Oreochromis niloticus: one gene and its partner. The protein of the gene in region 1 purifies or fractionates together with the protein of each later gene. This does not show direct contact. Links are inferred from orthologs where the notes say so. Each region holds a gene or a part of one and is shown on either strand. Other genes may lie near its edges.

Region 1 (15,978 bases):
CCTTCTCCTCACCTGCAAACGGTATTGGCAGATGAGCCTCCCTGAGCCTGGTTCTGCTGTAGGTTTCTTCCTGTTAAAAGGGAGTTTTTTCTTCCCACTGTTGCCAAGTTCTTGCTCAAAGGGGGTCACTTGATTTCTCTGTATTATTGTGGGGGCGGGGTCTGCCTTACATTATAAAGTGCCTTGAGGTGATTGGTGACATATAAATAAAATTGAATTGAGGCCAAGAGGTTAAAACAGTGAGATAAACAGAAAATACTGACAACAGTAGAACACAACAGGACACACATTTATAATCAGACTTGGGCAGGTTTATGAAATAAGCATGATTTTATAGCTTTGCAACCATTTCCAAACAACCAGGAAATGAGGTCTGGTAATAAAAAGCTGTCAGATGTTGTTCTCACAGGCTCAGCAGCACAGGTTTTACATAATAGAAATGACTACAAACCCTATAATCTAGTTTAATTGAGCCAATGATTAGATTACATTTTCAAAAACATTCCAACTTTTTTTTTAATATACGTTTTGGAGGGCGGCACATGGCTGTGTTATTCGTCAACAAGGAGAAAAATGTAGAATATTTCAAACCTTGTATTTTAACAACTGGGAGCTACCGAGGGAGCTAAAGATCACATCAGTACTAATGAGGCGAGCTCCTCCCACGTTTCCATCCTGATGGCTGCAGTGGTGAGAAATGTTCCTCTGCTGGGGATGTTTTTCACCGTCGTCCACTTTGTGTCATGACTTTTCCATGCCTGGATTTAGCTCCTACACCAGGATATGGTGGGAGAGAGGAAGAGATGGACAGATTCAGCACACACCCACTGAACCCAGCGAAGGTGTGTCTCAGGCAGCGGTGTGATACGCAGAGCCCATTCTTGGGGAAACCCAGCGTAGAGTTTAGGAGGTTGAAAGTGACAAGGGGCCCCTCGCTATCACTTTAAAAAAAGCTTAAAGTGAGCTGTTCTGGAGAGGAGCGTTGTAAGGTGCAGTGGGAGCTATGCTAAATCAGTGGCTGACCTCTTTTCCTAGTCCTCGTTCTCCCCCTCCTCTGCTATCTTCTCTCTCTCACCCGTCTCTCTTCCTGTTTCTGTTTCACTGCTATCATAGTTCGGTTATAGGACGGAGATTAGAAAATAGAGGTGCTACTCCCTTTAGATCTAACCTGGTTTCTGCCTCTTCTACTCTTTATTTACTTTCACAGCGGAAGGATACGCCGCCTTCCAGGAGGACAGCTCGGCAGATGAAGCAGAGAGCCCGTCCAAAATGAAGCGCTCCAAAGGAATCCACGTGTTCAAGAAGCCGAGCTTCTCCAAGAAGAAAGAAAAGGATTTTAAGGTGAAAGAGAAGGGTCCTAAAGAGGACAAAGCCAAGGATAAGAAGTCAAAGGACCTGACAGCTGCAGATGTGGTGAAACAGTGGAAGGAGAAGAAGAAGAAGAAGAAACCAACCACAGAGGCAGAACCGGTCCCAGTGGAGACCCCCACCTTCAGGCCCATCTTTGGAGCCCCGCTGGCTGAAGCTATCAAGAGGACAGCTCTGTATGATGGCATCCAGCTACCAGCAATCTTTAGAGAGTGTGTGGACTACATTGAAAATTATGGGATGAAGTGTGAGGGCATCTACCGGGTTTCAGGTATCAAACATTTTGATTTTACCATATTTTTTTTTAAACAAACTAAAACATCTCTGATTACTCACATTGGCTCTTTTTTCCTTTCAGGTATGAAGTCCAAAGTAGATGAACTAAAAGCTGCGTATGACCGAGAGGAGTGCCCATGCCTGGAGGAGTATGACCCTCACACGGTTGCCAGCCTGCTGAAGCAGTACCTCCGCGAGCTGCCCGAAAACATACTTGGTCGAGACTTGGCCCAGCGGTTCGAGGATGCTTGTGGTCGGCAGGTTGAGGCCGAAAAGGTGACGGAGTTCCAGAGGCTGCTGACCGAAGTTCCGCCGGAGAGCCGACTGCTCCTCTCCTGGCTCGTCACGCACATGGACCACGTCATTGCCAGGGAGGCAGAGACGAAGATGAATATTCAGAATATCTCCATCGTACTTAACCCCACCATACAGGTCAGCGGGAAGGAGATCAATCAGTGAAAATGCAAATGCACCGTTACATGGGAAAGGGAAGAAATATGCAAGAAGATCATGAGCTGGTGCAGAGAACATCAATTTTCCAGCAACAGGCAAACTAAACATCAAATAACAATGTGGAGCTTTGGCTCAGGCTCAGATATAGCCCAAAAAAACCCCAACCCTCCCCCTAGCAACAAACCAGTGAATTTTTATTGGATCAAAGAGTCAGTTCATCTCTGAAACCCTGGCCCAGTTTAGTGAAGCTAATTTATTCCCATAGGGGACATCTCTGTTGCTGCTCCACTTATTCTGAACCAGCAGCAGCAGCCGCCACAACACTGTTAAATAAACACTTCTCCCAATTAATGAGCGGAGTCCAGGGCCAGTTTAATCAGGCTAAATAAACATGCAGGAATTTGTATTGTGGAGGAACTGGTGCAGATACAATTCAGCTTTGTGCTCGTTTCCCTCTGGTGATCCGTGTGCCTCCTTTCCAGATTGGGAATCGTGTCCTTTACATTTTCTTCACCCACGTGAAGGAGCTGTTTGGGGATGTAGTCTTGAAGCCAGTGGTGCGGCCACTCCGCTGGTCCAACATGGCGACGATGCCGGCTCTGCCTGAGACCCAGGAGAGCATCAAAGAAGAGATCAGACGGCAGGTGGGTTCGGTCCTGTGGCAACTAATGACTGTCTATTTTAGTGTTTGAACAAATGAGTTTGTTAAAAAAAAAAAAGTTTCTTTTTTTGCTTCATATCTTAATATCTACTGCAAAAGGAAATGATTTTTTTAATATAAGCCGATGATGATTTTCCCTTGAAGCAGATTTTAAAATGTTACAACATAGTACATAGTAATGCAGCTCTAATTCAGCAAAGCAGGCCTTTTCTATTTATATTAAAGTGTCTTGTCAGCAGTACGCATCTTTATCTTGGGTTTGTTCTCAGTGTGCCAGGACTCAGTGGGATTCAGAATATTAGTTAGTTTCTGTCACCTGTATATAAAAGAAAATAGAAAACACGTCAGCTTCAGATGGTTTAGTCGATTTGAACCCCAGTCTCTCGGGTGAAGCTGTTTCTTTAACCTTACAAAATGTTCCTTCGTGGCCTGGATTTCCAAAACAATAAAACATCCCAGAGGAGGCGCACACATCTCAATCCCTCCTAGATCACCTAACTTAGAATATACGGAAAAGTTATTGTAGATTTTTTTTTGTCCTATAACGCTCAAATCATGTTAACTATCCAACTAACTTTAATTCTGTCATTCATAAGTGGTTATGCATGAATCTCAGACCGCCCTTTTTAAAAAGATTATATGGTTTATTTTGCTACTTAATACTTTGACTTTTTTGTTCTCATATTGACTACTTTATTAAATGTGTTTGGCTCCTCTACTTGTCTTGAGCTGATTGTTGTCATCAAGTAAATTTCAGCCAATATTTATGAAGGTATTTGTGTGTAGGAGTTCCTCCTGAACTGCCTGCACCGGGACCTGCAGGCAGGGGTGAAGGACTTGTCCAAAGAGGAGCGGCTCTGGGAGGTTCAGAGAATCCTGACCGCCCTGAAACGGAAACTGAGGGAGGCCAAACGTCAGGTAATCTGTCTATATCAGTATTTATGTTTCTCTGGATACAATAGCTGTTCATCCACCCAGTAATACCAGTGAGGGTTTGAATTTCCACCTCTTCTGAGATGTATAAAAATTATAACCTTCATTAAGGTAGGAAACAGCAGCAGGATTGATTCTTTAGTCTGTATTAAATTGAGCTGGGAGTCCTTAATAAACTCTAATGTGGCCCTACACAGTAACAACAAAAAGGCAAATGCAGATGAATTGACCAACTATGCTGTATGTGTCTGCTCTCTGTGGGGCTTTAGGAGTGTGAAAGTAAAATAGCCCAGGAGATAGCAAGCCTGTCAAAGGAAGACGTTTCTAAGGAGGAAATGACTGAGAATGAAGAGGAAGTCATCAACCTCCTTTTAGCACAGGTGAGTAATTCATACAAACACATCGATCAGCAGCTTGCCAAGAAAACCTTTAAATGTCTTCTCGTTCTCTCGATAATCAGGAGAATGAGATCCTGACGGAGCAGGAGGAGCTGATCTCTCTTGAGCAGGTGCTGCGTAGACAGATTGCTACTGAGAAGGAGGAAATCGAGAGGCTGCGGGCAGAGATTGCAGACATACAGAGGTAAAAGAGGACAGTGGTTAAATATGAGGTGTGAACAAAGAGTTCCAGTGTTGGAAGTGTAAAATTTATAATCTATACCTGATGTAAAAGTGGTCAGTCTCCCAGTCGGGTACATTTTCTTGTGGATCTTTAGATCATTTTCAGTGTGACTGCTGATTTCAGATCCCTCAGTGGATGTCTTGTTGTGTCCTTTGATCTGTGTGTGAAGGACCATATTGGGCTGTTTTCAGGACAACACTGGTACCATTGCATTGTTTGAACCCCTGTGAATGTCTCCTCATTAGCAGCAATACCCCTGATGACATTTGAGCCTTTTTGAGAGATAAACGTGATATTTTCCCTCTGGTTTTATGGTCGAGCAGAAATGGTGCATTCGCTGTCCACTCCAGTCCAGGGATGGTCCGTCTGCCTGGAGTGAGCTCTGTTGCCAGATAGAGGCATTATACAAGTAAGCGGCCCAACAGGTGTATGGCCACATGGGTCTATGGGCCACTCTTACTTGTGCTGTTGTCGGTCCATCAGCCAGTCACAGAGGAAAGCAAAGTGATAACACACAAAGAGCTGAAGTGAAACCGAGTGTTAAAAGCAATGAAAAGTGTCCACTGCAGCCACTGCCTGTGCTTTTAATACTCTGTATTTTGATCTTTGAAGTTTTTCTCTGCGGTTCTCCCATTCCCAGTGAACTCCAGTATCCCTCCCTGCTCTATTCCAGCTCACCTGTGAACCAGTCAACATTCGGCAGTCCCTTTAAGTCATGCTTTAAGTTGATTTAAGACAGTGTACTCAGTCGGACAAGTTTACAGGACCATGAAACCAATTTAACACTAAAACACGACATTAGATCCTAGCAGTAAGCCAGCGTTGTGTTCCTTCGCAGTCGGCAGCAGGGTCGCAGTGAGACAGAGGAGTATTCATCAGACAGCGAAAGTGAAAGCGAGGATGAGGAAGAGCTGCAGATGATACTAGAAGATCTGCAGAAGCAAAACGAGGAACTAGAGGTGAGAAAGCATCCAGCCTCCACTACCTGTTGCGGTGGTTTTGCAGTGTTTGACAAAACTGTGGTTATTCATATACCAAAAGCTCAGCACGCTTTTGTTTCTGGTAATAAAATAATGAAAGTATTGGCTGGAGTTTTACAGGATCTAATTCTGAATGTGTACTTTGTTGCCTTGAAGAACAAAAACACTCACCTGAACCAGGCCATCCACGAGGAGCAGGAGGCCATCTTGGAGCTCCGCGTTCAGCTTCGCCTCCTGCAGAGCCACAAGCTACAGCAGGAGCTGACCGTCCAGCCGCCAGCCGAGCAGGCTCCACCCACGCAGCCGAGCCCGGAGGCCCGCGGCGAGGAGCAAACCAAGCGCTCCGTTGCTGCCGTGGCTCCTACCGCCGATGCAGCTGCTGCCACAACCAACGGAAAGGCGGCTAAGGATCCATCAAAGCCTTCACCAAGCAAAGACAAGAGAGACACCAACATGTGAGACCTCTGTGATGCTTTTGGTGGTCGTCTGTGCTGGTGTTCGTCTCTACCGTGGGTCAGTTGTCCTGTAGCGTTGCTCGCTATCCTGCAGGAGATTTCACATTGCAGAGCTCATTAGTTACCGTGTCCACCAAGTGGCAGACAAGGAAAAACCTTTTATATCGTCTTTGGTGTCCTAACCTTCTTTTTCACATCCTCATGCAAAAACAAACCACCCTGAAAAAACAAACAAATGCTAGGTTTAGCTGGTGTAGCGGACAACTGACTACCACTGTAAGAGACTAGCAGGGACCATGTTTTCAAATATGCAGTGCCAAGCCTGTATGAAGGAGGAAGGAAGGGGCAGGAAGGGGAAATGAAGGCAATGAGAGTAAGAGAGGGTAGATTGCAGATTATTTCTCACTGTTGAGCGAGTCAGGAAGCGATCACTAGACCACATGTCATCAGTCCCTGTCGCTCAGATTCGTCCCTTAACTTGATGCAAATTTGATTTTTTCTTTTGGATAGAGACCACTGTGCCATAACTTGAGGATGCCCCAGAGAACCACTGATAACAAAAGTTTTTTGAATGATGAAGAATTTATGATCGGTCTATCTATATATTATATATTTAAGTAGTATTCTGAAGTAAACAGATGACTATTCAAGAAGTACATTAAATTTAAGTTGCAGCTTTTTAGTAATATATGAATATACAAATAAATATATTGTAGAGGGTCTTGTTCTTTTTCTTTTTTTGAACAGCAGATTCATAAAGAGAAGTGTTGCACCTCGCAACTAACCAGTGGATGAAAACACGAACAGCCAAATAACAAATGTGTATTCATCGCTGCAAAATGCAGACAAACAGCTGGAGGCCACACTTTGCTCCGTAGTGCAGTCATTGTCTCAGTTACCTTTGCCTGCGCTGCACTAATGAGGAAGAGCGGGAGATCATATTTGTTCAGTTTAATGAGGATGTAACAAGTCTGTGCTGATGATTTATTTTTTGCCTCCTATATGGGTGGAGACACGCAGGAGGCTCGCTTTGTTTTGTATCTTCATGTGTGGAGGTTTTCTTCAATCCTTTCATTTCACAGCTGATCCGTGTCTGCTGCAAGGTAACGTCATTGTTCGATACTATTTAAGGCAGAGATGTGTCCTGACTTACGTTTTCTGTATATTATTGTAAAATTGCAAACATACTGTATTTTCAGCTCTTCGTGTTTTGTCTTCTTGTTGCTGTTTTCTTTTCTTTTTTTACCATTAATAACCTGTATGGAGTTACGCTACTGTGACTGCCCTGCTTTGGTCACAGGCAAATCCATGCAATCTCATCTGGAGTTCCTGATTCCATGAAACTGCTAGAACAGGCTCAGAAGCTTCTCGTGAGGTTATTTTCATATTGTTCTGAGCTTTTGTAGCTGATTGTTACAGACAGAAATGCTGTGAAGAATAAAGTGTCAGTCTAAAATAATTATCTCACTGTGTCTTTTCCTGAAGTTTACCTTTTCACTCAACTATGTCTGGCTGGACATGTATTCCATATTTTTCCATTACACAGTATCTGCCTAAATACAAACCTGAGCATCTCTGAGAGAATAGAAAGGTGGACTTTGACTCTGAAAACAAATTACTCAAGAGATAGTGGAACCACCCAGCTTTTTTTTTAAATATGTTTTTTTTTGGTTAAGGCTTTAACTGGTTTCCGATTTGGAAACTAGGTTTATCAAGTAGGACTAAAACAACTAAGAGAACAACGGATGTTAGGAACTGTCTTTTCAAAATTAAAGCTCGACTTGAATTCACATAACATGATGACCATTTTCTCTTGGAGGAAAGCAATGGTTGTAATATAAAAGAGTAGATTTACATAGTCTACTGCATTTCAGGGAATGTTGGCTTTATAGATATACAATTAATACTAACCATAGAGCTATACATACCTTCACTGGGCATTTTATTAGGTACAACTTGTTATTACAAGGTTGTAACATTTTTGTTCCTTTAGATTTGGCTTCATTCTTATATCTTCATGGCACAGATTGAACAAGGTGCTGGAAAAGTGTAACCATAAAGATAATGACAGCATCACACAATTACTGTTGATTGGTTGGCTGAGTCTCCTGTTCCACCACATCTGAAAGGTGCTCTATGGAATAGAGATCTGGTGACTTTTGAGATTTTTGGGGACATTTGAGTACAGTGAACAAAAAAAGGGATGTCTATAAGGATATGAACATGTCAGCAACAATACTCGGTTAGGTTGTGGTTACAAAGATTCTCACTTCGCCCAGCGTGTGCCAAGAAAATATTCCCCTCATTATTACAACAGCAGCAGCAGCAGCTTAAATTGTTGATAGAAGGTGGGATGGATCCATGCTTTTATGCTGTTTATGGCAGATACTGACCCTGCTATCCATATGTTGCAGCAGAAATCAAAAACCACCAGAACAGAACGTTTTTGCATTAATCATCAATTACTGGTGAGCGCATGTAAATTGTAGCCCCAGTTTGCATGGTACTGGTTTGGTATTCAGCATGTGAAGGAAACCTACAGTATTCTATCTAAATGCCAGATATAGTCAATCTTCATGAGTTATCTGTTATCTTACCTGGTGTTCGTTTTCTTTTTTAACCACACATTTCTTGAAACATTTACAATTACTGTGTCACAGTCATTCCTCTATGAAAAACAATAAAATCACAAGTAAATGACTGAGAATTGCCTTATAAGTTGCTTATTCAGTTTTAATTGTTATATTTTCTTTTATTTGTGGTCATTTCTATCATATACCACAGAAACCTGCATAGCTTGTGGCTCTGTGGTTACTGTCAGTTTTCCTTGGTGCCCTCCCCAGCTTTCTTAAATGTTTCGTGATTTTGTAAAATTGGCCAGGTTTGGCACCTTAATGGCCAAAATCAAGTTCGTTTATAAGAAATAACTTGGCCCAAGTATGGTAGTAGTTTGGATGCTGAAAGTGAACCAGGTCTTTATCTTGTCAAAAGTCAGACTACCAACCTTGGTCAGTTTTTCAGTCCTAATACAGTGTGCGTGCATTTATTCTGCCAATTCGCAGTCCAAACTGGCCCAAGTCCACATACCAAAAACCCACCCAAACCTGGTAGCCATTACTGGGCTGGAGCCCACTCATTTTTGGCTGCCAGGGCACAGCCGGCTGTGTGATGCTGATCCTACTTTAGTCTTTTATTTTTGAAATAAAAACATCATTGTCACAGTCTTCATTGTCTTTGGTTAAATTAGTTAATTGCAAAAATATGTTAAGAGCAGACTGACATTTCACAGTCCTGTTATACTTTCATTGAACTAAAGACCATTGTATGCACTTTTATCTATTCTTAACTAAAGAACACTGTTTTTCAGGGTAAAAATATGTCTAAAATCTTTAATCTCTTATTTCAAAATATAAACATGTAACTGACAGGCAGAGTTAAAATTGCAAACGAAGTTGTTTGTTGCAACCTTTTCGCATCATTTGTGCCAAAACGGCTGTAAGATACCTTTATTTTGAAAGTCACTCCCGGATGTTGTAAATTTATTTTATGCGCCTTGTCAGCCGCTTAGTGGAGATGTCTGTCTGTATCAGGGGCTGGGTTTCTATTTTATCCAAGAAGAGGGGAAAATAATAGAGTTTCAAGCATGAAGAAACAAATACATTGAGTGTACACTGACAAATGATGATTTAAAAACTTTCCAAAACTTACCATGGCTATAAGGGAGCTCAAGGTTTGCCTTTTAGGGGTAAGTGGTTGATGTTTTTTGTTGATCCGTTTTGGGGCAAATTCCTTTAGTCTGCTGCGAAACTGCAAAAGCCGACAACATGTTGATGTTAACAGCTGCTCGTTTACAACTTAATGGTAGAGTCGGTACTTTGTCAGTTCCGGTATTTTATTTAAAAGAACTCTTCTTTGTCGTCTTCATGAAATAAGTTGGGTATTTAACTAATATTGGTAGCTAGTAGTTGGCTTAAAACCAACCTCATCGGCCGGCAGTCATTTTGAGTATGTCCTCTCGCATGTTTTTTGTAGTTCTTAATAGATTAAGCTAAATCTTTACTTTATAACGGCTCTGACAGTTTATCAGCCATTACGTCATCATTGGAGCCAGCGAGCCGTTAGATTTCTTGCTGCGTTAGCGAAACACGTCAGTCTGTCTTTATAAACGGTGACAGGGACGGCGAGAGCGCTTTGGACCGCAAACTGCCGCTTTTTCGACGATGTTGAAGTCGGGAGCTGGGAACTTTTCAGAGCCTCATAAGGTTTTTAGGCCCCCGCATACCTCCTCAGGGCCCTGACATCCTCACTAAAATATTTTTTTGAGTCAGCCTAACCAACCATATGCTGACCTTACCCATCTTTTGTTACACCTCTGCATGCTTATAACAAGCGGGAGGAGCAGATTTTATGCAGATTTAAAGTCACATAAAACCATACAGGGGTGTTTATACAATTAAAAAAATGGGGTGCCACATTTGGAGACTAGGAAGTCGGTGGGTGGGTGGGGGGTCCTATTTTCTACATCAGATGTGTTACATGAAAAGTGGCACTGCATGAGAGTTTAAATTAGACAGACTCAAAGATTAATGTAGTTACAATGAGTTGAGCATTATTACTGTTGACATGTTGGTCTTTTGGAACCAGAGGTGACAATTGAGAGGTGGTGGGGGGGGTGTCTATCCAGATATTGGTAGTATCGATACCAGCACCGGTTTTGGTATCGATACTAGTGCGATAGAATTGATTCTTAGTTTCTATGATCTAAATTCATTATGTAGTCCATTGAACTGTATTAAATGATTTTTGGGGGGAAAGGATAAAACAGACTTTTATGTCTATTTTATTTATTCTCTATAACCCATTTAAACAACAGAAGTCTTTTTGAGACAGGCACACTTGTGCCTCTTTTCCACTAGTACCAATTTGACTCAACTCTACTCAGTTTCAGCTGTTTTCAGTTACAACTGAGTACCACCTAAAAACCGAATTGAGTTGAGCCATGCTGAGCCCAGTAGGTACTAGTGGGGCAAAAAGGCATTACGTTCCAGGTCTCCAAAAAACACAGTTTCAAGATACACAAAAAGCTGAAATGTGTGTTTTGTTGTGTTATCTAATTACTGTGGTTAATAAAATGTATTCAGAATTTGCAAATTGATAGTGATTCATCTCATAAGTCATGACACACCACTCTTCTCTACATAAGTTGATGTTATAAGTTAAAAGTATTGGTATTGGTAACAGCGATACTGGCCCTGTATTTACTTAAAATCTGCAGTATTGCGCAACACTAATAAGAAGTGGCTCTCTCTGTGAACCACATGCTCATTGGCTAAAGCCTTGTGATTGTGTTGAGCAATTAGTATATTCTGAAAAAGTCAACTTACTAAATGGAGTCAATATTTTATTCAATACTTTCTGTAAATAGGAAGTGAGTGTGTGATATCAGTAAAAAAATGTATACCAGTATTATCTCGGATGATGTTGGATATGATATAGCCACTGTTTGCAAGGAAAAATGTGTATTCCCAGAGTGGTTGGTGAGTAGTTCCCAGAGGTCGCTTGGCTGTTGCTACAGTAGGTGAAATCAGTCGCAAAGAGGATGCTGTGCACAAAAGCCTCTTTGTTATTGCTTTGGTGGCTAGGAGATTGTTGCGCTCACCTGGAGTTAGCATGAAAGATGCTGACTACAACTGGAACCTTTTGCAACCACAAGAGTTGCCCCCTGCTGGCCGTTAGTAAGAATGCAGGTGAAGTAGTCATTGTGAAGACCCTTTATATAAGTAAAAGTGATTATAGTACAAAAGTTTTACCATCAAAATATATTTAAGATATCTAAAGTGAAAGTTCGTGTTACACAGAATCATACACCGTGTATTACTGGATAATTTCACGTTATCATTTTAATGACTTAAATACTGCTGTTGCATACTTTTGTATTTGCTACGGTTGCATAATCCACTAGGTTCAATAGTGACCGCCCTCTGTGTGTGCATGTCCTGTGACTGATTCTGTTTGCAGGACACTGGAGTTGGGAAATCCAGCATTGTTTGCCGATTTGTCCAGGATCATTTCGATCACAACATAAGTCCAACCATAGGGTGAGTGTTAACCAGGAGAAGGCTTCAGCAGCAGGAAACTAATCAATTGTGTTTGGAAACAAAGCTGAAGTAAAGATGTTCAGAAATGTACAGGGAGATTCAGCCAGTTAATCAGTAATCTGGCTGAATGAAACTATGCGCAAGCTCAAGCCACATCATTTGTACTAATGGGTAGATTGATAATCCTATGAACTGTCTATAAACTACAGAAGTTAAACCTAATGATAGAAGAACTGATTACTCAAGAGATAAAACTGAATGTACCTTCCTTCCCTTGGGTCTTTTATCTTAACTGAATACATAGATTTTAAAGGAATTGCACAAGCCACTATTACCACACTGTTAAAACTTAACAGCCGTTTTATTACTATTTAGTATTTCTTTAGTCCACACTAAAATTGGGCTGATTGGTGATAGTCATAACCTCCTAGACAATGTAGAACATGCACAGCTCAGCCAAAAGGTCTCCTTCCTGTAAGGAAAACCTCAGCAGGTAACACATAGCTTATTCTAAACAAACTTTAGCAACTGAAATAAAGACAAACCCACCTGGGAGTCATCCTGTTTCAGCCCCACAACTCCAATAATTCTCATAAGGCATTTTCATTTCATTACAAATATGTGATGTAATTACATTTTTAAAGTACAAATTTTAGTTAAGTGTTTGCAAGCTCTAATGCACAAATTACAACTTCTGTAAGCCTGAGAAAAAAAACCTTGATTTTACTAGGTCATTGCATCTGACATGAAAAAACCCACTTTGGAGTAACACTTTTAGACAAAAAGATTATAGAATTTTATAAAAATGATAGTTTTTTTTTTAGTACTTGGTGCAATAAACACTAAAATAAACTGATTATTACCTGTAACTTCAGCTTTTGCCATCTATACCAGTCTTTAAACCCACTGTTGTGACTATGTTTTTCCTTTTTTTGTTACATGCCTCTATAGCAACAAACATGCTGTACCAAACATACTTGTTTTCAGTGTTCTTACTTTCCTGCTGACATGCACAGATTTTTTTCCCTTTGCTTTTAAAGAGTGACCTAAAAAACAATAGCTGTTGTGAAATGCTTTAAATCATCCGCAGAGCGTCATTCCTGACCAAGACAGTGCCATGTGGAAATGAGCTACACAAATTTCTGATCTGGGATACAGCTGGTCAGGAACGGGTGAGTGTACGCAACAGAAACTCCTCATGGACTCGCTGTTAGCTTTAAGTTAACACATGTGATGTTGATTTTCCATTAAACTTTGCATCAGAAAGCTGGTACTCGTGATAGGTAGATATTTATAGGGTATGAAACAGGATGCTTGACACAAGAGTTCAAAGGTCATGAGACATCACGGTGATTAATTTGATGGCTAAGAGAGGGAGATGGGGTATAGCTGAAGCTTGCCAAACCTGCTTACTGCATGGAAAAAACTAATGCGAGCATTTTCTGCTTATGTGTGAAAAAATTATGCTGGGACTTCTGCTGTGAGTGTCTCCTAATACATTTGACTGACTGATCTTGTGTGATCAGTGATGCTGATGGTAAACATCTGTGAACAATACAACTGTGGACACTCTTGAAATATTGATGTCACTGTAGTGTAGTGTTATCATCATGACTGTGGGCTTGCTGATTAAACCTGTGACGTCTGAGTAATTAATATAATTTAAAAAACATGCCATAATATTTTATTCTACATTTATTATCATTCAAACACCATTTTAAGCAGTCTTTTTAGTCTGCTTGTTTAAACACACACTTCCCCTACCTGACATTTTTGGGATACCATTTAGATACCAAATGTAACTGAATATGTCAGTGTTTCTCAAACTTTTCAAAATGAGTACCACCTCATAAAATATATGGCTCTTAGAATACCACCCTTATGACTGACATTAAAGTAAAATAGTATACGCCTATTTAATACCATATAGTTTACATGAGACAATTTTATTTCTTATATAAATGTTATTTATTTTAACTGTCATAAACAGGATGTGACAAGTGATAATAATAACAAATGTACTGCATTAAAACATTCACAGCAGGTGGGATATCTGGTCTTTAAGTGATGACCACAGTTTGAGAACCACTGGAATATGTTATTTGAAGGCACTGATAATGTTTTTAAATTTCTTATTTAATTGGCCACACATTGTCTACTTTATTAAAATACATACGATTTCCACCAATTGACTTTTTTTGTATGATTGTTGAGTTAACTAAACTGCTGCAACTTTGAGATGAAGTGTATCTTCTCTTATCACTGGCAATGGATATATAGTTGTACTGATGATAATACACATTGATAGTTGCTGAAGGGAATGGTGCCGGTTTTGACTGATAAGAGAAACCAACACTAACTTCAGTACAAAATAGAAACAATTTTGAGATGCCATACATTGGTATAGGAAATGTAAAAAAAATACAACCTGAGTGTGATATTTATTCTTAAATCGACATTCCTTTTTGGATTCACTGTTCATAAATGATCTCAAAGTTTGGCACGTGTTGGCACATTTTTAGCCGGCGCGTTCACTCATCGTTTATCTGCAGTAGGCTGACATTTAGTGAGGTGATTTTTACATTCAGCATTTCTTTACAAGCTACCACAGTTTGTCAAGTCGAAGTGAAGGTAACTGCTAAAAGTTAAAAAGGCCTGGGGACTTGAGGAAGTAATTGTTTCCATAAACTCATCATGTAAGAATGTATGGGCATAGTACCCTGCCTGTATTTTATAAGCTTTTTTTTCCCCCTTATTAATCATAGACTGAGCACTTTGGATCATATTTATGTGTGATATACAAAAAAAATGAAATCAATCATGCTAACTAATATAAATGTGTCGTCTTTTTTTAGTTTCACTCGTTAGCCCCTATGTACTACAGAGGATCGGCTGCTGCTGTCATTGTCTATGACATTACTAAACTGGTAAGTGTAACAGGAAGTTTACTATTGCGAAACTGGTTAAACTGTCATGGCTGTTAGCTCCTTCGTAAAAATGAAAAACATCAGTAACAGCTGTCCTGAACATTTGTAAGTGAAGAATTTTGCTACTTTTCCATCACTCTGGGATGCTGTGTTTCATGACCTACAAATGTCATTCTTTCCTGGTTTGTTAATGGAAACTCGTCTGGAAAAAAAAAAAAGCAATGAATATATGACAGGAGTTGGAAAAAAACTGCTGGGCATATTCTCATAAACAATCTATCCCAGGATTGACCCCAATGTCTTCTTGTTGTCCAGGATTCGTTCCAGACGCTGAAGAAATGGGTGAAGGAGCTGAAGGAACACGGTCCAGAAGACATTGTTGTAGCTATAGCAGGGAATAAGAATGATTTAGGAGACATCAGGTGGGCTTCTTTTTTTCATCTCTTTTGTTACAAATATGTTAAAAAGAAAAGTTTCTACAGACACTGTTAGACTGAGTTAACAAACAAATCTGACAATGGAAATAATTTACCTTCAAAGGGGTCCAAACTTGAGGGATTTTCACAGTGAGAAAACTGCAGACAAGAAGTGCGAAGCATTGTGCTGCAAGTCTTTAAGAGTGAAACAGGCCAACTGTTAGTTTAATCCGGGCAGAGATCTGAATCATTGTCATTTACATCCTTATTATTTACAAAGACTCTACCCACGTCCTGCCATACCACAATGAAGTTAAGGTGGTTAAGCCAAGGACCTGTGCATTTCTTAAATTTACAACCACTGGGGTTCTTTGTACTGACAGCAGACTGAACTCTGAGGCGCTTCATCAATGAATAGCTCGTTAAAATGTGGTCGTTGTCAGAAACTTCTTCTATTTTTGTTTTATTGCCTGACAGACTTGAGACCAAACTAAAATATAAATGTATATGTGGCCTATGAACTAAAATAATTTTGACACCTGTGTTATTAGAGGTCTGTGGCATCACTTCAAAGGACTTATTTGTACCAAAGCAGCAACATGAGCTTTCTCTTTATGTTTAGTGATAAAGAAGTTGTGTTATTATTCACTGTGCTTCCAATTATAAGTCTTCTTTTATTGTATCATTTCCTTCAACAATATATGTGCAGTAAACTCACACAATACTGTGCAAAGGTGTGGAGTCGCCACCTTATTTCTGTACATTTTATACATTCTTGTCCCTGACTATT
Region 2 (16,088 bases), on another chromosome or scaffold:
TCTTTCAGAATTACTTGTAATCATAGTGTAATTCAATAAGTTGTATTTTTAGTACAAGTGTATATAAAACATTAATGTATGTATGTATGTATAGATAAACTTCCCATGTCAGCATTGCATCTTCAATAAGCAACACAAATCAGTCTTTTCCAGGTTTGCCATGTGCTTTTTATTTTTCTATCATTTCATTCATAGTTTAATTCATTTTATTTGTTACACAAGACATTAGGCATTGTTCACATACTAGTGATCAAACAAGGACAGTAAGTTTTCTACTACTCAGTCTATTTCTTTTGTCAATTTCAAGGGATATTTGTCAATAGTGGTTTTCAAAGGCCATACTAAACAGTACAACCACACGAGGCATTTGTTTTCAATAAATAAAAAAAGAGGATAGTATCTGATGCTGAGGAAGGGTGGGTGGGGGGCTTCAGATATATCTATGTTCAAGGAGTAAACAGTATTCCAGTTATTACCAGATAATGTGTTTCCAGGATGAAGAGCACACACAATGTTGAATGACGCACAGTGTGAACACACAGCTGTATCGATTTTGACTCCCGATCTATGACTGACTGCTGCTGTTGTCCCTCCATCAAAACCTGTTTCTTAGGAATGCTAATAATCATTAAATCATGATGCAACACTGGAATGATCACTAAATTAGGTAAACATAACACATGACACAGCAAATAAACAAACAAAAGATATCGGTGTGCATAACGTTTCAAATCCATTTTATCATCAGAACGTAAACTATTAGCATAGCATATTCAGCATTTGACGTAAACCCTTCCACGATACGTCAGCGAAATTCAAATAAATAGAGCTCAAAGATAAGACACGTCAACACCCCAGACGCGATAACTGCCAAGGGGTTGGTCGCGGTGGATAAAGTGAAATGGAACCGCTTCAGTTTTCAGTAAAGTTAAATGGATCGTGTTTGTTTTGATCCATAACGAGCCAAGCCACAGATCAATCTGACTGTGAGTGTGCACTGCAGAGATATGAGGAACTGTCTCAGGTGTACAATAACACCTCTGACTTGGTAGGAAGCACCATCCTCTCTATAGTGTTTAGCCAGCTCTGCAGAGCAACTACACCACCAAACTTTTAATGTCAGCAAGCTTTGCCAATAACAGAATCACCAGTTTTGGCACAAGACTGGCCTCCCACTACATGTTAGTAAAAACAAAGCAGTCGATGTTTTGAATGGGTCCAAACATTTGAATTGGACCCAAAATTAAGGCTACAACCAAATAAAAGCATCTTGGTTCACTCTCATGGGGCGGCACTTGGAACTGTGGTTTCATACTTATGCTATGCTACAGTCTTTTGAAAATTTCTTGCTTTTCCTTCTATGTCACACTACAGTTTTTTTCAGAGGATTTAATCCCAAGGGTAATGACTTATCTCAATGACAAACACAAGGGTTGAAACAACCAAGACACAATCTGGTGCTTCCACTGAGAGCCGAAATTTCAGTCTTCAATCTCTTCCCCCGCAAGTGAAACTTCGCCAAAACAACAATCTCCTCACATACATTCTTATCCTCACGGCACATTTCCTTGCATCCCGACATGTTCTTCACCATTTCAAAACCTTCCAGAGTTCTTTACAGAAACCCTCACCTAACACAAGACAAATCCTCACCATGCCTTTTTGCCCCGACATTCCCTTTTTTTTTGTAAATGTTCAACTTGAAGACCACGGTTTCATCCTCTGCTCTGTAAACTTCATAACTTCAGCCAGTGAAATGTGCACCAAGCATATAGAAATAAAACTCTTCAATAATTTAAAATGTTAGAAAGTAAACTATTCAAATTCAAAATTGACATCACACAACAGAGATAAACAAAGAAACTTTTTTTTGTGTGTTTTTCTTTTTCAGGAGGGAGGGGTTGACAGTTAATAGCCACTGGTTAGCTTGCCTGCTAGCACAGGAAACACAACAGTATTGCAAAGTGAGCACTATCAGCTGACAGAACAGCCCATTTATATGTAACTTTTCATCACATTTTTTTGTTTTGTTTTTTTCTGTTTTTGCCCAACCAACAGATTTTGCCAAAAGGAGCGGCATCTATTGAAGAAACACAGGTAAAAGACCAAGTAAGAGAAAAGTGAAAGCAGGGTTGACAGGAGTGATGCGTGGAATGGTCCAGCCTTCATACCGCAGTGTCATTTGAATCTATGTACAATACTACTGTGTGTAAAAGACGCATGCACGTCCACTGGAGGTGACCCTTCCAGAGGATTCTACACTAAGCCGTTACACATCTCTCATGTCAGAGCTATCTGTTGAGACCTCTCGGTGCCACCAACCTTCCATCGGCCCAACCTCTGATATGAGGAGAAAGATGTTAGAGGAGGAATGAAATGCTCTGGAAATTCACCTCTAATGATAATAGTTAAGACATGATTATACTGTAAATTCTACAATGGAATGAAAAACCATATCAACCCTGCTTTTCAGTGACAGAGAAAGGGAATGTGAGCATTTGAAAAGCGTGTATGTGTGTGTCTGTGAGCATTTATGTGTCTGAATGCGTGCCGAGAGAGGGCGAGAGAGAGCGACGCGAGGAGGTGGAGGCAAACGGCTGAAGACAGGCTCAGAAGCTCAGACGCGCACCCTCTGCACCACTCTCACATTTTACCCTTTGTTTTTAAAGCACTGTTTAGGCAGCCCCAGCCCTCTACCAAAAGCCCCGTTGCCTCCACTTTTGCATCCACCCCCTTTCCCAGCCATGCCCTCTCTCAGAAGCCCCCCCTCTCTAGCTCACTGCTCATCCTCCCCAAACACATCGTTCTGTTTGCGTTTCATGTTCTCAAAGTCAAAGTCGCTCCCGGTCATGCGTTTGTAGATGTCCTTGATGTCGTTGCAAGTGGTCTCGAAGTGAGTGGTGGCATCGTAGGACCTTGATGCGAAGATCTGAGGAAAAAGTTAAATAACAAGACTTAGAATTTACAGCAGTGCTAGCAGGTCTGTGGGGCAGCGGTGCTCATTTCCACCTTCACATTTTTATTCAGAAATCCACAAAAGTAGCTTTGCATGATCCTTACTCTCAGACCAGGCCTCTGTGCACCTGCTCAGTTCATCTGTCTGAAACAAGCAGATCTATCTCCCATCTCCTAACAAATCTTTGTAAATGACTGAAAACAGAGGGTTTAAACACAACACAGCTCTGTGTCTGATATGAACATATTAGGGATATCCACTCACAGTGACATCATACAGAGGCAAGAAGAAAAAAAACTGAATCTGATTGTTTAGAGCAGTCTGATACTTGCAGCTAAAATTTCAAGCTGGCACCTAAACGTGCACACACAAGCTGGCTTCAAAAGTGAGTCAATCCACACAGCCTCCTATGCTACCATTTTAGAGCAGGAACAAATGTGGGCTTTATTTAAGGTCTTTTGGGCTATTTTTTAAAACAATTAACTTTCAAATATCTTGCATTTAACAGTATTAATAGCTCTATGCATTTGGTGAGTGAATTCTACCATTCTGTATGGAACTTAGCACTAAATAGCGGGTGTCTGCATCTATTTTATGTGCTCATACAGTTTATGGGTGCCTCTTGCTAACCAAACTTGTTAACTTGAAAGCAATGCAAACTCTCATCCATTTCTGGGTCCAAAATAACCAAGCAGGCCAGCTGATGCGCATAAAATTGAGGCTTCCAAAGAGGAGATCACAATCCAACGAGTGACATCATTAGATCATCACTACAACCATCTTCTATGCACAGTCTACGATAGAATGATAATTACCTATCTAGTACAACATTTCTTTGCAACAAAGTGGTCAACTGACCCTTCAACGCAGCCGTATTAGTTGTGACAGCGTATTAATTTGTTATCTTGTAAAATACAATATTTTTTCTGGATGTTGACCTTGGAAGAAGTGTCTCACCTGGCTCTCAGTACCGTCATCTGTGGGCTCATAAAGGTCGCTAATAGCCACAAACCTGTGGAAGAAAAAACGTGATTTATCCCAGTTATATGTACATGCATCATATTATGAGCATTTTTTTCCCCTGTGTGTAAAACTATAAACATGCATGAATTTGAATAAGCAAGAAGTAAAACGTGGGACTGACTTTTGGTCGATGGGCTCCAGCAGCTCCAGAGCTGGCTCAATTTCATTCTCAGGTTCACTGGTTTCCACTGTGGTGCTGACAATAGCGATGTACTTCCCCTGGGCTGCCACGTTGTGAGCGTAGGAGATCATGCAAACATAGATGTCTAAAGAACAGACAAAGGAGTTAACAGGAAGAGATGGTTAAATCAAGAGTTAACTTAAAGCTGGATTAATTGACGTTTTTGTCCACTTGGAGGCAGCAGGAACGAGCTGTATACACACTGACACGTTAGCTTCCCAGTTGAGTAAACAGTTGCCTGTTTATATAAGCATTCATCTGGAGTCATGTTTCTAGCCACCTGCTATGTGTCTAATATCTCATTTCCTTTAGCTTTGCTTTTGTTTCCATAACTTTTTAACAAAACAAATGTCAGGGTTGCTCCAGTATATGCACCAGTTACTTTTTAAAATTGTCTTTCTTCTTCTCCTTGTCAAGCAAGTTATGCATAGTGATTATTTTTCCTTCAGTCTTTTACTTTTTCCAACTTTACTGTTTAAATCAGGTGAATAACGGTGATAGTAAATCAAAAGAGTACAACTGAAACAATTAGCAGAAAGGTGCTAAAAGGCACCGTGGAGCTGAGGGCAGCTGCAGATCTCATCACTGCTAGTTTGTCACCATTTAACATGCAGTCTGATAATTATTGATTAGGGATGTTAAAAAATAAGCTAAATTTAGTTTGTAGTGGACTAAATTTGCAGCATTTCTTTGAAGACTAAAAAGCAGAAATATTGAATATAGAAAATATTGCTCACCTGAGTTGCGATTAACCTGATTCTGAGGAATGATGATCTGACAGGAGTTGGCATCATTAGTGTTTTTGATGGGATGGCTGAGGATGCAGATCACACGGATCACCTGACCCGCTTTACGGACACGGTCTGGGATGTAACTAGGGTCGCAAATGAGCTGCTTACAACGAGCCACCTGCAGTGGGAATGAGACAGTAATGATGTGAGTCTGCTGGATAAGTATATTTGGCTGAATAAACCTTAGGCATAACCACTTTAAAATTTGGAATGATACTGTCTAACTTGCGTAGCTGTGGACAATAAAGCAGAATCTGCTTTACCTCGCCCTCAGACTTTACTCCAATCACTTTTCCACCTTCCATCACGATCTCATCCACAGGTTTGTTCAGCATGTAGGTTCCTCCATAGATTGCACTCAACCTAAGATTACAAACGAGTATGATTCGTTAACTCGAGGAGTGGTTTTGATAGTTATGATAGACTCCATCATAAATATCATAAGTTTAATTTAAGTTAAAATACCTGGCAAAGCCCTGTGGCAGTTCTCCCAGACCATAGAGGGGATAGAGATAAGGGCTCTTGCCATACCGTGCCAGTGATTCACTGTAGAGTTTGATACGGTTGATCGTCTCCAAACAAGGAACATCAAGATAGCTGAAGTGGAGCAAAAACAATGTGAGAACTCCATTAATATCTATTTAAGCACATAATAACAATAAACCCTTGGTATTCCCTGATAAGAACATCTGTGACTCAAATTTGAAAGCATGCAACTGTGACATTAAGCAGAATTAAACCAATTAAACGGCTGATAATGGGTGATGTTGTTCTTACTCATCTGTCCTGTAGAGGGCCAGGGCGTGGCCAGTGAAGTCAATGACATCCTGACCGAGGTCAAACTTCTTGTAAACATCCCTCATCGTTGTGGTTTTGGGGTCCACGCCCTCGAAGGTCTTGGGGTCATTTTCATCAAAATTGGCCACAAAGACTAAAAACTTTCGAAACCTCCTCTTCTCAAACATTCCCATCAGATCTGTGTATTCAAACCGAGGTTTCAGCATTCTACTGTTGACGTCATTGCGTGCAAAACGTGATGAGACAACGTTCAGGTGACTTACTTGAAGCTAGTGCCTCAGTCTCAGTTGATGGCACCTTGTAGATCTTTCCTCCTTTGTAGACAAAGCTGCCTTCCACTACTTTAAAGTCCAGATACCGTGTCACTTCTGTGTATAGCAGCATCTTTACAAGCTGACCTGCAATCAGGGAGGCAAACACACGCAACATCTTACAGGGGATTTACGGTTCTGTGTTAAATCCACACTACATATACAACAAAACCACAAATCCCTTGAAAGCCTACGACGTAACATGCTGTAACATGACGTGCACCTCCCTGGAAATATAAGTATGTTGCATTAACACATCCCACAACTATTGTATTTGGCCCGTTTAGTCTGGTCGATTCCTCCTATGCATTTCCAGCTACTTTTTTACCCTAGTTTTTGAATGGATCACTAAGAGGACAACAACCACCGCCTCAATGTAAGAACTCAGAAATGTCATCAGATTCCTGGTGGGGGATTTTGAAAACTACTAGAATAAATATGAGGAAATGTACAAAGAAGTGGAAAAACTTTATGGACAAATATGTTGGCTTCTGAAAAAATATTGATTGGAACAAAGATTAAAGGCCAGGAGGGAAAAAAGTCCCAGCATTTTATTTGTTCCTGTCACGAATGGCACTGCTTATAAAACACCAGGACATGGTAAAACACCACCCACAAGCATTAATGCTGGCAAAGGTGTTGGCCACTTAAATAGGTTACATTGCAGGGTCTCCAGAGTCACCTAAACAAGCAGTTAGTGTGTGACCAACCTTGAAGAATTAAAGCATTCTGCAGTTACAATATTAAGCTCCAGAATTACCCTCTTGAATAGTCTGAAAAGCACTTTGGCTCTTGTGTACTTATCACGTGCTAACTTTTATGGCATTTTTTTATATAATTAGTAATAGGATCCTAACCGTTGGCCATGAGAAACTTGGGTATGAGGTCAACGTTCCAGTCACGTCCTCTGCCCATTGACTCAGGTGGGGTATCTGGCAGACTGAAGCGCTTGTACAGCTGTGGAAAAGGACAGGAAAGCCTGTGAGGCCCATCGAATCCGAGGCTTTACAGAGGATAAAGCAGTTAGCAAATGAAGACAGTAAAAGGGTGACAGATGGGACTGGAAGTAAAATGAGATATACTGAGAAACATTAAAAGTTTATTGATTGGTTTTATAGATCCCAGAAGTCCTTACCTCCTCCAGGGGTGTAATGGAAGAGCTCTCCCCACCGTAGTAGGGGTTTCGGTCCATGTGCAGAACCTTCTTGCCATTCACGGACATGATCCCGGACAGAATGCATTCCTGCACGAAAGCGGATTTATTTATCCAACACATCAATTACATCAATAACTCTTAGGTATAAAACAGCCCTATAATAAATCCTTCTCTTGTCAAGGCTCCAGTGTTTTAGAGATGTGTTGAATCATTCATTGAGGGGTGTAGTTTAAGTTGTCAAGATGAGAAATGTTTCTATTATTTGGTCTAGACCTTTTTACAGCATATCATTAGAGATAAGCACGCCGCTTAGTTTAGACACTGAATGTAAATGGAAGTAAGGAGGTTCTGACAGAAGGATGCGGGGGACAGTGGAAAAGATGTGCGCATGCGTGATTGTATCGCCTTAACAACGTAGCTACGACAATTATAATAATAATAACAATAATAGTAATAATGTTATTAAAAATGTATTACATAGAAAAGAAAAATCCTGTGGATATGCATCGTCGTATTTGATTCCATTTATAAAACTACCAGAATATCGGCTTCCGTGTATGCAAAGAGCTGGGAGAAAAGCACAGAAAGCGCATTTCTGCCGCAGAGGGTGTGATGAGTGAAAGGAAAGTGCGGCGATAGTGGCAGCAGTGAAAAGCTCTGTCATTTAATAAACCGGAGCTCAGGCCTGCGCCAACCTCAGGATGGAGGCCTGCCTATGCAAAGAGGACCATGACACACTGTGGGGTTACGCCTAAAAGATGCTGCTGGGTGTAACACAACACTGAGCCGGCTGTGACTCTGGGAAAGCAAACAACTCCCGGTCGAGCAACTGTTTGCTTCTTGTCGTGTACAAGCAGATCAGCTGGTGCGGTTTATTTCCAAAGCGCATCTCTTATGATAAATTTCTAATGTGACACGCACGCCGGGATGCAAGGGGCTTTCACTCCTTGGCTAGGATAGAGGATAGCGGGCCTCTGGTCTGGCTAAAACCATCATTTGGGAAGCTGACACAATCAATTCGGTGTGTTTCTGTGCAAACAAAACAAAGCTTGACTACTCACTGTGAGTCCGGTGCCCAAAACGATCACATCATATTCCTCATCCATGTTGTCTCACCGCCTCTCCCGTCTCGCCCTCTTTTTGCCTTGAGAAATGAAGGGTATTGGAAGCAAATAAAACCGGTGAGTCCACAAACCGGGTAACTGTCTCTTACTATCTCTGCACAGGTGCTTTAAATTGCTCTTCAAAGTTAAATATTATTTATTAATCATTGGGTATAAATGACCAATGGAATACACAGTCCACACTGTCACCGGCGAGGACGACCAAAGATGGCCCTGATCGTGGAGCAGTCTAGAACAATGTCACTGCGCGTCGGTAAATAGTGCGCATCCTCCTTCCCTATTTCCCATCCTGCCACACAATGGGCTCAAGCTGCAAAGCGGGAGACGCCGCTTTGAGCCGGCTTTGGCGATAGTTTATTGTGCACACGGGGTGTGCTGTTGTGGAGTTTGGCTTTTGTTTTTGGCCATTTTGAAACCACGGTGTGTGTGTTCTCTAATTTCTTATTCTATCTTTCCTTCCCAGTTGTAGGCGCAGCGTTGCGTGGATGAAGGCAGAGATATCCTTCCGCTGCCACAGCTGTGTGGATGGGAGTTGCTTTCACTGACTGAGCGCACGCACTCAGGCCCTTACAGCAGGGGTGTTTCCAGGCTTTTCTTTTCCTTTTTTTAACGGGGTGGTACAGGGGGTGTAGGGTGGGGGACCAGGGGTAAGGCAGGGGATCGTAATGTTTGATCGGATTTAAATATTATTAAAGAAAAGTGTCTTTTCTGCAGCCCTGTCTCCTAATAAAAACGGTGTTACACGAAAAGTAGTGCTGCAAAAGATTTGGATAACCTTTCTGCAAAGTGGCTAAACAAGCATTTAGGCCCCTTTTTAAGTAAATGTCACATTCCTATTTAAGTAGTCTGTTTTGGCTGTGAAATGCAACCTACAGTCCCAAGTAGCTAAAGTAAAAGTATTTGTTGTACAGAGTTAATTATGCAGTCATGATCACTGAATGATTCATATATTATCCTTTTTACATTACAGTGATGTTGAAGTTTATCTATGCCTTACATATGATAATATCATATAGGAGTTCAGTAGAAGGATAAGCATAATTATGCTTTTTGGGACAGGTAAAATGCTAAGTAACTACAGCATTACCATAACTGTTATTGGGCTACTGTTTATTTAATTATTAGTAATTATTAATCTCTGGCTGTCTTCCACAATGAATCTTTTATCCTGGCTTTCTCCCATCACCCCAACCCACTGCAGCACACGGCTGCCCCTCTCTGAGCCTGGTTCTGTTGGAGATTTCTTCCTGTTTAAAGGGAGTTTTTCCTTCCCATTGGCACCAAGCGTTTGCTAACAGGTGGTTGTTTGATTGTTGTTGTTTTTGTTTTTTGAGGAGTGGCTTTTCAATTAAAGAAATGTTAAGACTGATTTATTTATCTATTTATAATTTACTTAATTACTTATTTGTAATTGTTAGGACATGAAACAAAGAGGGAATTAAACAATTTAACTCTTAAATGCTTAAGAGTTTCTTAGACAATTAGGCTACGCCCTAAGTGAAAGTGAAAAAAAGAAAATATGGATATAAATGAAGTGATAATGGAAGACTCTTTGTTTAAACGCACACACACACGCACACCATACTTTAAAGAATCAATTGTTCTGCTAAGCAATGTGCTGATGGGCAGCTGATGGTACTGTAGCGGTTTCGCTCCTGGAAATGTTAAACTGTTCTCGCCGAGAGAAACTAAATAAGAGCAAAGCTGTAGTGTGTCATTGGTGTCAGCAGCTGCTGTGGGCTGTTCGGGCTGAATGAAAGAAGGAGGAAGTCATCTCTTCAGCACATGACTGTCAGGTGGTGTGGGTCACGTGAGCATAGAGTTCCGGAAAAGTCTAAACGAAAATGGCAGGTTCGAGGAGCTGCACTCGGTTAATGGGTGTTTGTATTCTACTTTTCGCCCCTTTTTTCGCCTTGGGGAGCGCCACGTCTCAAGTGCCTTTTCTTATGTGGTCCAGTGAACGGTAATATTTAGTTTTTCTTACTAATTCATTCAGCAGAACTCACTTTAACTACCGGCAAAGTTATCTTGTATGCTAACGCTGATGCTAACTCTTCTAGCTAAGTGAGTTTCTACTTTGCTGCCCAACCTTGCAAACACTAAGCGTTTAAAGTCTAGGAGCTAAATATCTAGAGGAGTATTTACACAGAAATTGTAGATATTTGCTTGTGCGTTTTGTTACAATAAAAAAATCCTAAAAGGTTATTGTGAAATCCAGCTCTTGTTCATAATGGCCATCCTTTTATTTCTTAATTTTGAAATAATCCACAGAAATAACGATTCTCCATGATTTAACCCCCTAAGGTGACGCTCTTTAGCACTAGTAGATATGTTAATGTTGTTGATCTTCATTTGCAAAAAAGCAAAGTAAGCTGTAAGATTAAAGATAAAGAAGAACTTTATTGTCATTAGTTATACAACGAAATTTGTTCACTTTTGTACATTAGCAGCAGACATGATATGGAGTAAAGGAGAGAGAGGGAGAGTTAGCTATTTTGTGTTGGGGGGAGCGGTGACACAGGCTACAGCTCTGGGGGATGCGGTTCTGATTGCCCTATATCTCTTCCGCGATGGGAGGGGTACAAAAAGTCTGTGACCTGGATGATGCAGCTAGCTCGCTTCTGTAAACGGCTAGCATAAACGGTGTCAAGATTCGGGAGTTTGGTTCCAATGATCCCCTGGGCAGTTTTGACGATCAGAGCTCGACGGTTTTCTGCAGTGCAGCTGAAGTACCACACTGTGATGCAGTGACAGAGGATGCTCTCTATTGTGCTCCTGTAAAAGTTTACTAAGAGCTGGGTTGGCACATTTGCTAAAACACAGTTTTGCAAGAGTTTTGCAAGTGTACTACACTTCTTTAGGATGGCGCACACAGGAATTTAAAATGTGGAAGTATACTACTGTATGAGGTGGTGTGTTAAGCAGGAGGACAAGGCAAGGTTGATATACCAAAATAGTTTTCTTTGATGATAGGATGAATATCTGATTCATTATTTTTGTTGTTGTTGTAGTTGTTGTTATTTAGACATTTATCATTTTTGTATAATGTTATGCCAGCTTTACAGGAAACACATTTTTGTTGGGGAGTATTCAGAGGTTTCATTTGATTGACTGATGGGTGGCTTTTCAAAATAAAATGAAGTACTGTGCTTCATAATAAAAGCCGCTGGGGTTTTTCAGCATTTTCAAAAAATGTGTCAATGCAACTGAACCACTTAATATCACAATTCATCTTTATTTTTTTCCTTATGTTTAGCTTGCCACCACTGGCCTCACCTGCAGCTGGTCATATAGCATCTTATGAGCAGCTGAGTGCCTACCTCACCTCTGCCTTCAGCTCTGGCTCCCACACTGTGCTGCTGTTCTTGCAGGACAAGGTCAGTACCCGACACATGAACTAGATTCTGGCTCTGTAATGGATATGTTTATGTCACTAAATTGTTCACCCTTCGTTGATTTGAAAGCTAGTCCTTTTATATGCAAGTTGTGTAAAATGGGGTAGTTGTACTGCATTCCCATGTGACACTGCAACAGTGTGGTGTGACAGTGAGTTTTGGCATTACTTCCCATTTCTCAGTTCCTCTGTGATACATCGGGTCTTTTTTGTGGTGGTGGTGAACACTCAGTGTTGTGACTGAGCCATATATTTATATTTTCCCATGTGATATTTTTAATCATTGTAATTGTCATGAAATTGTCATTGTAAATCCTCTATAACTTTTAAACAACTACACAAGCACAAACAAGATATTCCTTTAGATATAGCTTGCGTGAAAAGCGTGAATGCGACAATGATTTCATTCCAGTTTGTTGTTAATTGAGGTATTGTGGAGCCGCCAGTTCACTCACATTTTGGCACACTAGCATACTGTCATGCATACAGACAACAAGTCACTCAAACAGACATTAAGATTTGAAATGTAGTTTTTCCTAGTATTACTGAAACAAAGAAAATGGAAGAAGTAGCAGATAATAATTGTCCAAATTAATGTAATTTGTTTATACAGTCTGTATTTTTTAAGTATGTTAAATGCAAACTGAGCCATTAAAAAAGAATTCCTTTAAAATAATGTCTGATTATGAATGGCATTAAGTCAATTTAGCTGCTAAAATAAATTAATTGCTCGTGGGTTAATGGGACTGATAAATGTTTCAGTTGTTTAAGTCTTCCTGAATTCAAGAAACAAATATTTTTTTTCCCTTTTTGTATTTAGTTAAGCAAAGATGACTTCACAGTCTTTGGTGGAGTATTTGGGAACAAGGAGGATAGTGCTTTTAAAAACATTGAGGTATGTTTTTATAACACATATGTTAGTCCAAAATTAAGATAGTTTTTCCCTAGACTAACAGAGACTAATAATTCTCCCCACTTGATCCTTTTCAGGATGCAATGCAGTCTTCTACCTCAAAAGTGACACTGCCTGCCTTGGAGTGGTCTGGTTCCTTTAACATGGCAGCTCTGCTGCAGGAGAAGCTCGGTGTTTCGCCTGTGCTCGTCGATGCAGACTCTCTCTCACATCTGAGTATCAAAACATCTGTCAGCAACCTCCTGCTCATCAATCTTCCTTATTGTAGCAGGTGAGATTTTTCAAAATAATTCAAAATTATATTGAATAATCAGTTATCTGTTTTTATTTAATACTTAAAGTGTATTATTTTTAAATTGTTTTGTAGCTTACAGAAGTCATGCAAGGAAGTCCTGCATGAGAATGGTATGTTTTTAAGTGCTGAGGATTAAAAACATTTATAATTGTATATGACGTTTACAATTACAAACATGTATAATTGTAATCAGCATTATGTTATATTTTGATTTGTGTATAATTTGAATGCATTTTGCTGTCAACAGATGAAATTATTGGAAAAGTTCTGAGTTCAATGAAAGCAAAAAACATCCCATACACTGCAATATACACAGGATTCCAGCCATCACGAGTATGTTTTTAAAATTAGTCAAAATGTGCCACATTATAACACATTCTCAATGTTTGGGTATTTTTTTGAGAATGAACAACATTTTGATAACTTTGCAGATGATTTCAGAAACCCCAATTTCTGATCAGTCAGTGGGTCGGTCCTTGCTACAAGCAGTTGAACCTGAAGTTAAGCCTCCCATCATGTTTAATGTATCTGGTGGTCCCTGCATAATGCTGTGGGCTCAAAAATCTCACTGTCAAACTGGGTCCGAGCTCACCATGGACCGACCTTGCTCAGCAAACACCTACCTTGGGTGGATCACTGTGTAATGGCAGTACCTCACGGTAAAGTGGCCTTTCATTATTTCCCAAAGCAATATCCAGCCTGTGATGAGTTTACGTTTTTTTGTTTTTGTTTTTTTTGTTATTTTGTTATTTAAAGAGAAATAACCAGTTACATGTTTTATTTTTTTCTCATTTCAGGCTTGTGCTTACTTACCAATCAGGCTTTACATTAAGGTAAGGCAAAAAGTTGCTTATTAAAGATTCAAAATTGTACCTTTTCAATTAGTTAATAACGCTTACGTGTCCCCAGGATGTGCTTTTCAATTTTCAGCTCAATGTACCACAGCAATAGTATTCTTATGTATTTGTATTTACTGTTTAAATACCACGCTCTACACCCCTGCTTTTCCAAACCGGTTCTTTCAGTGTGTGTGGCTTTAAATCCAGCTGAGCCGCTGCTGCTTCTGCCCACACCCAGTTTAAAAAGAAGTTTGTGAGTGACAGTGTGTACTAATGGGTGCAGCACAGTGCTGGCATGAATGAGGCATTCTGTTGCTTTGCTTTCTCTAAGAGATCACTTTGTTCTACAATTGAAACACAAAATGACATTTACCTGACATTTAAACTCTTGGAGTCAACAGCTGGTCTTTTGGTGCGCTTTGTTTGTAGCTGATGCATTTTAGTTATTTTTATTTTTATTTTGCACACATCTTGGAAGCAGTGAGCAGTGAGGGTTGTCTCTATGGACATTTTAGCTCAACGACTATTTTCTGTCTAGTTTCAACATAGAAACTTACACAACTAGGAGGCCAACCCTTTGTGCAAGTATTAAGCAATTTGATATTTTTACAGCTTTCTTATCACACAACAGAGTTCATAAAATGATCATCTTGAGGCATTTTTATAAATAGGGTTGCTAAATTAATGTGGGTTTATGTTTAAGTGATAAATGGGATCTTCCTGTTTAATTCTTAGTAAGAACGCATTTCAAAAAATGAAGTATTTTGTTGAAATTCCTGAAATCACGGCTTCCATTTGAAGACAGTTTTTTTCAAAAACAAAATTTTCTTGTTTTCTAAAAAGGCAAAAATATCTTTCTCAATCTCTGCAGTAGAGATATTATTTCCATGTAATGTTTAATGTTTCAGACTTTTAAAAAAATATATTTTTAATATCACTGGTAGCATCAGTTTATTTTAAAATCCTTCACGGATATGTAATTAAGCAACTAGTTTAGAAAGCATAGTTAAACAGTGATTGTGCCTTTTACACTGATACGCATTCTGACCATCCTTCTCTTGCTGATCTCCAGTTTTTCAATGAGCAAGCGTTTCTATTCTGTCTCTGCACGAGAATGGTTCTCCCTGGATGCAGTTGAGCTGCAGTACTTTAACCTCAGTGCATCTTACATCGCAAGCCGTGACATCTATGCTCCTGCAGAGTATTCCTTTCATTGCCAGTCTGTCGCCAACTTCGGAGATGCCCTGCTCCGCACAAACACAACAGACACAAATTCATCTGAATGGAGGCTAAATTTTGTCGACTTCCAGGTACAAATATAGTGCCGCATTTGCTAATTTTAAAGTCAAACACCAATGCATGAAGAGGTGTGTTGATGAAGGGTTTCTTAAATAATTGTTTTCTTTTTTTATACAGATTCAGGGCTTTGGGTTGTCCGACAGCACAAACTTCTCCTATGCCAGTGACTGTGCAAGCTTCTTCACCCCAGCAATTTGGATGGGACTGGTGACTGTGCTCCTTACGCTGCTAATTTTAGTGTACGGTCTGCACATGATCATGCAGATTAACACCATGGATCGGTTCGATGACCCCAAAGGCCCATCAATTTCAGTGCCTCAGTCAGAGTAAATCACTCCCCCCCCCCCCCCCCAAAAAAAATGTAAGAACATCCACTCCTCAGTTTTTGAGTGCCCCTTTGTTGATCAAAGAAAGTATCCCTTTGCCTTCTAGCTTTTGTGTTTTTGGGTCTTTTTCTTTAATGTATGTTTCTTTTGAGTCCTTCCACAGTTATTTTGGCACATTCCACGTCATCTTGCCATATTTTACAGGTTCCAGAGTGTATTTTTTATGAGTATTATTTTAGAGCGTGTGCCAGATACAGCTGATATTTTTACTAAAATAATTTGCACACATATCATGGAATGACTTTCTTGCCAACACGAATGTGATCGCTGAATGCTGTAGGACCGTTTCAGACCTCAGTTCTTAATTTGTTTTGTTTTTTTTATTTCCCCGGCCTAACTGTAATTTAAAAACTACTGTTAATGAAAGAAGTGCCTGTGTGTATATACATGATCATTTGTGATGTGTTGTGTAGTGCTGCTGTTTTTCCCAATAACATACCTTGGATTCAGTTCTGTTGCCAGTCGTCATGGCTTAAATGGCAACACTGATATCCAATGTTTTCTTGGCAAGTAATTTATTTGTATAAAAGGACTTCATTTGCCTTTAAAGTTTACCCTTTGCTTCTGGGTTATCAGCTATTTTAATAACAGTGCCTTGTTTTCAGAAAATATTGACATGCAT

Evidence for each region.
Region 2: the proteins of rab31 (region 1) and gdi1 purify together in Homo sapiens (co-immunoprecipitation; 3 studies listed by BioGRID and IntAct, counting the BioPlex papers as one, with this or other methods). This does not show direct contact. The link is inferred for Oreochromis niloticus from reciprocal best matches to the Homo sapiens genes RAB31 and GDI1.

The regions. Positions count from the first base shown.
Region 1 is NC_031982.2:24,681,791-24,697,768, reverse strand, and holds the start of rab31 (ras-related protein Rab-31), read left to right. Parts: upstream 1-9,353; 5' UTR 9,354-9,456; coding exon 9,457-9,492; exon of another isoform or gene 9,493-9,554; intron 9,555-9,728; exon of another isoform or gene 9,729-11,755; intron 11,756-11,765; coding exon 11,766-11,845; intron 11,846-12,935; coding exon 12,936-13,017; intron 13,018-14,700; coding exon 14,701-14,772; intron 14,773-15,087; coding exon 15,088-15,194; intron 15,195-15,978. Other genes in the region: ralbp1 (ralA-binding protein 1), read left to right, coding at 1,208-1,639, 1,727-2,076, 2,580-2,741, 3,545-3,676, 3,961-4,071, 4,152-4,273, 5,151-5,271, 5,449-5,751. UniProt on the Homo sapiens protein: The small GTPases Rab are key regulators of intracellular membrane trafficking, from the formation of transport vesicles to their fusion with membranes.
Region 2 is NC_031984.2:7,298,104-7,314,191, forward strand, and holds gdi1 (rab GDP dissociation inhibitor alpha), read right to left. Parts: upstream 8,616-16,088; 5' UTR 8,323-8,615; coding exon 8,278-8,322; intron 7,304-8,277; coding exon 7,196-7,303; intron 7,018-7,195; coding exon 6,918-7,017; intron 6,148-6,917; coding exon 6,013-6,147; intron 5,928-6,012; coding exon 5,729-5,927; intron 5,549-5,728; coding exon 5,417-5,548; intron 5,315-5,416; coding exon 5,215-5,314; intron 5,070-5,214; coding exon 4,898-5,069; intron 4,246-4,897; coding exon 4,101-4,245; intron 3,969-4,100; coding exon 3,914-3,968; intron 2,930-3,913; coding exon 2,777-2,929; 3' UTR 146-2,776; downstream 1-145. Other genes in the region: V-type proton ATPase subunit S1, read left to right, coding at 10,185-10,303, 11,597-11,717, 12,555-12,629, 12,725-12,918, 13,015-13,052, 13,190-13,275, 13,374-13,582, 13,740-13,775 and 2 more. UniProt on the Homo sapiens protein: Regulates the GDP/GTP exchange reaction of most Rab proteins by inhibiting the dissociation of GDP from them, and the subsequent binding of GTP to them. Promotes the dissociation of GDP-bound Rab proteins from the membrane and inhibits their activation.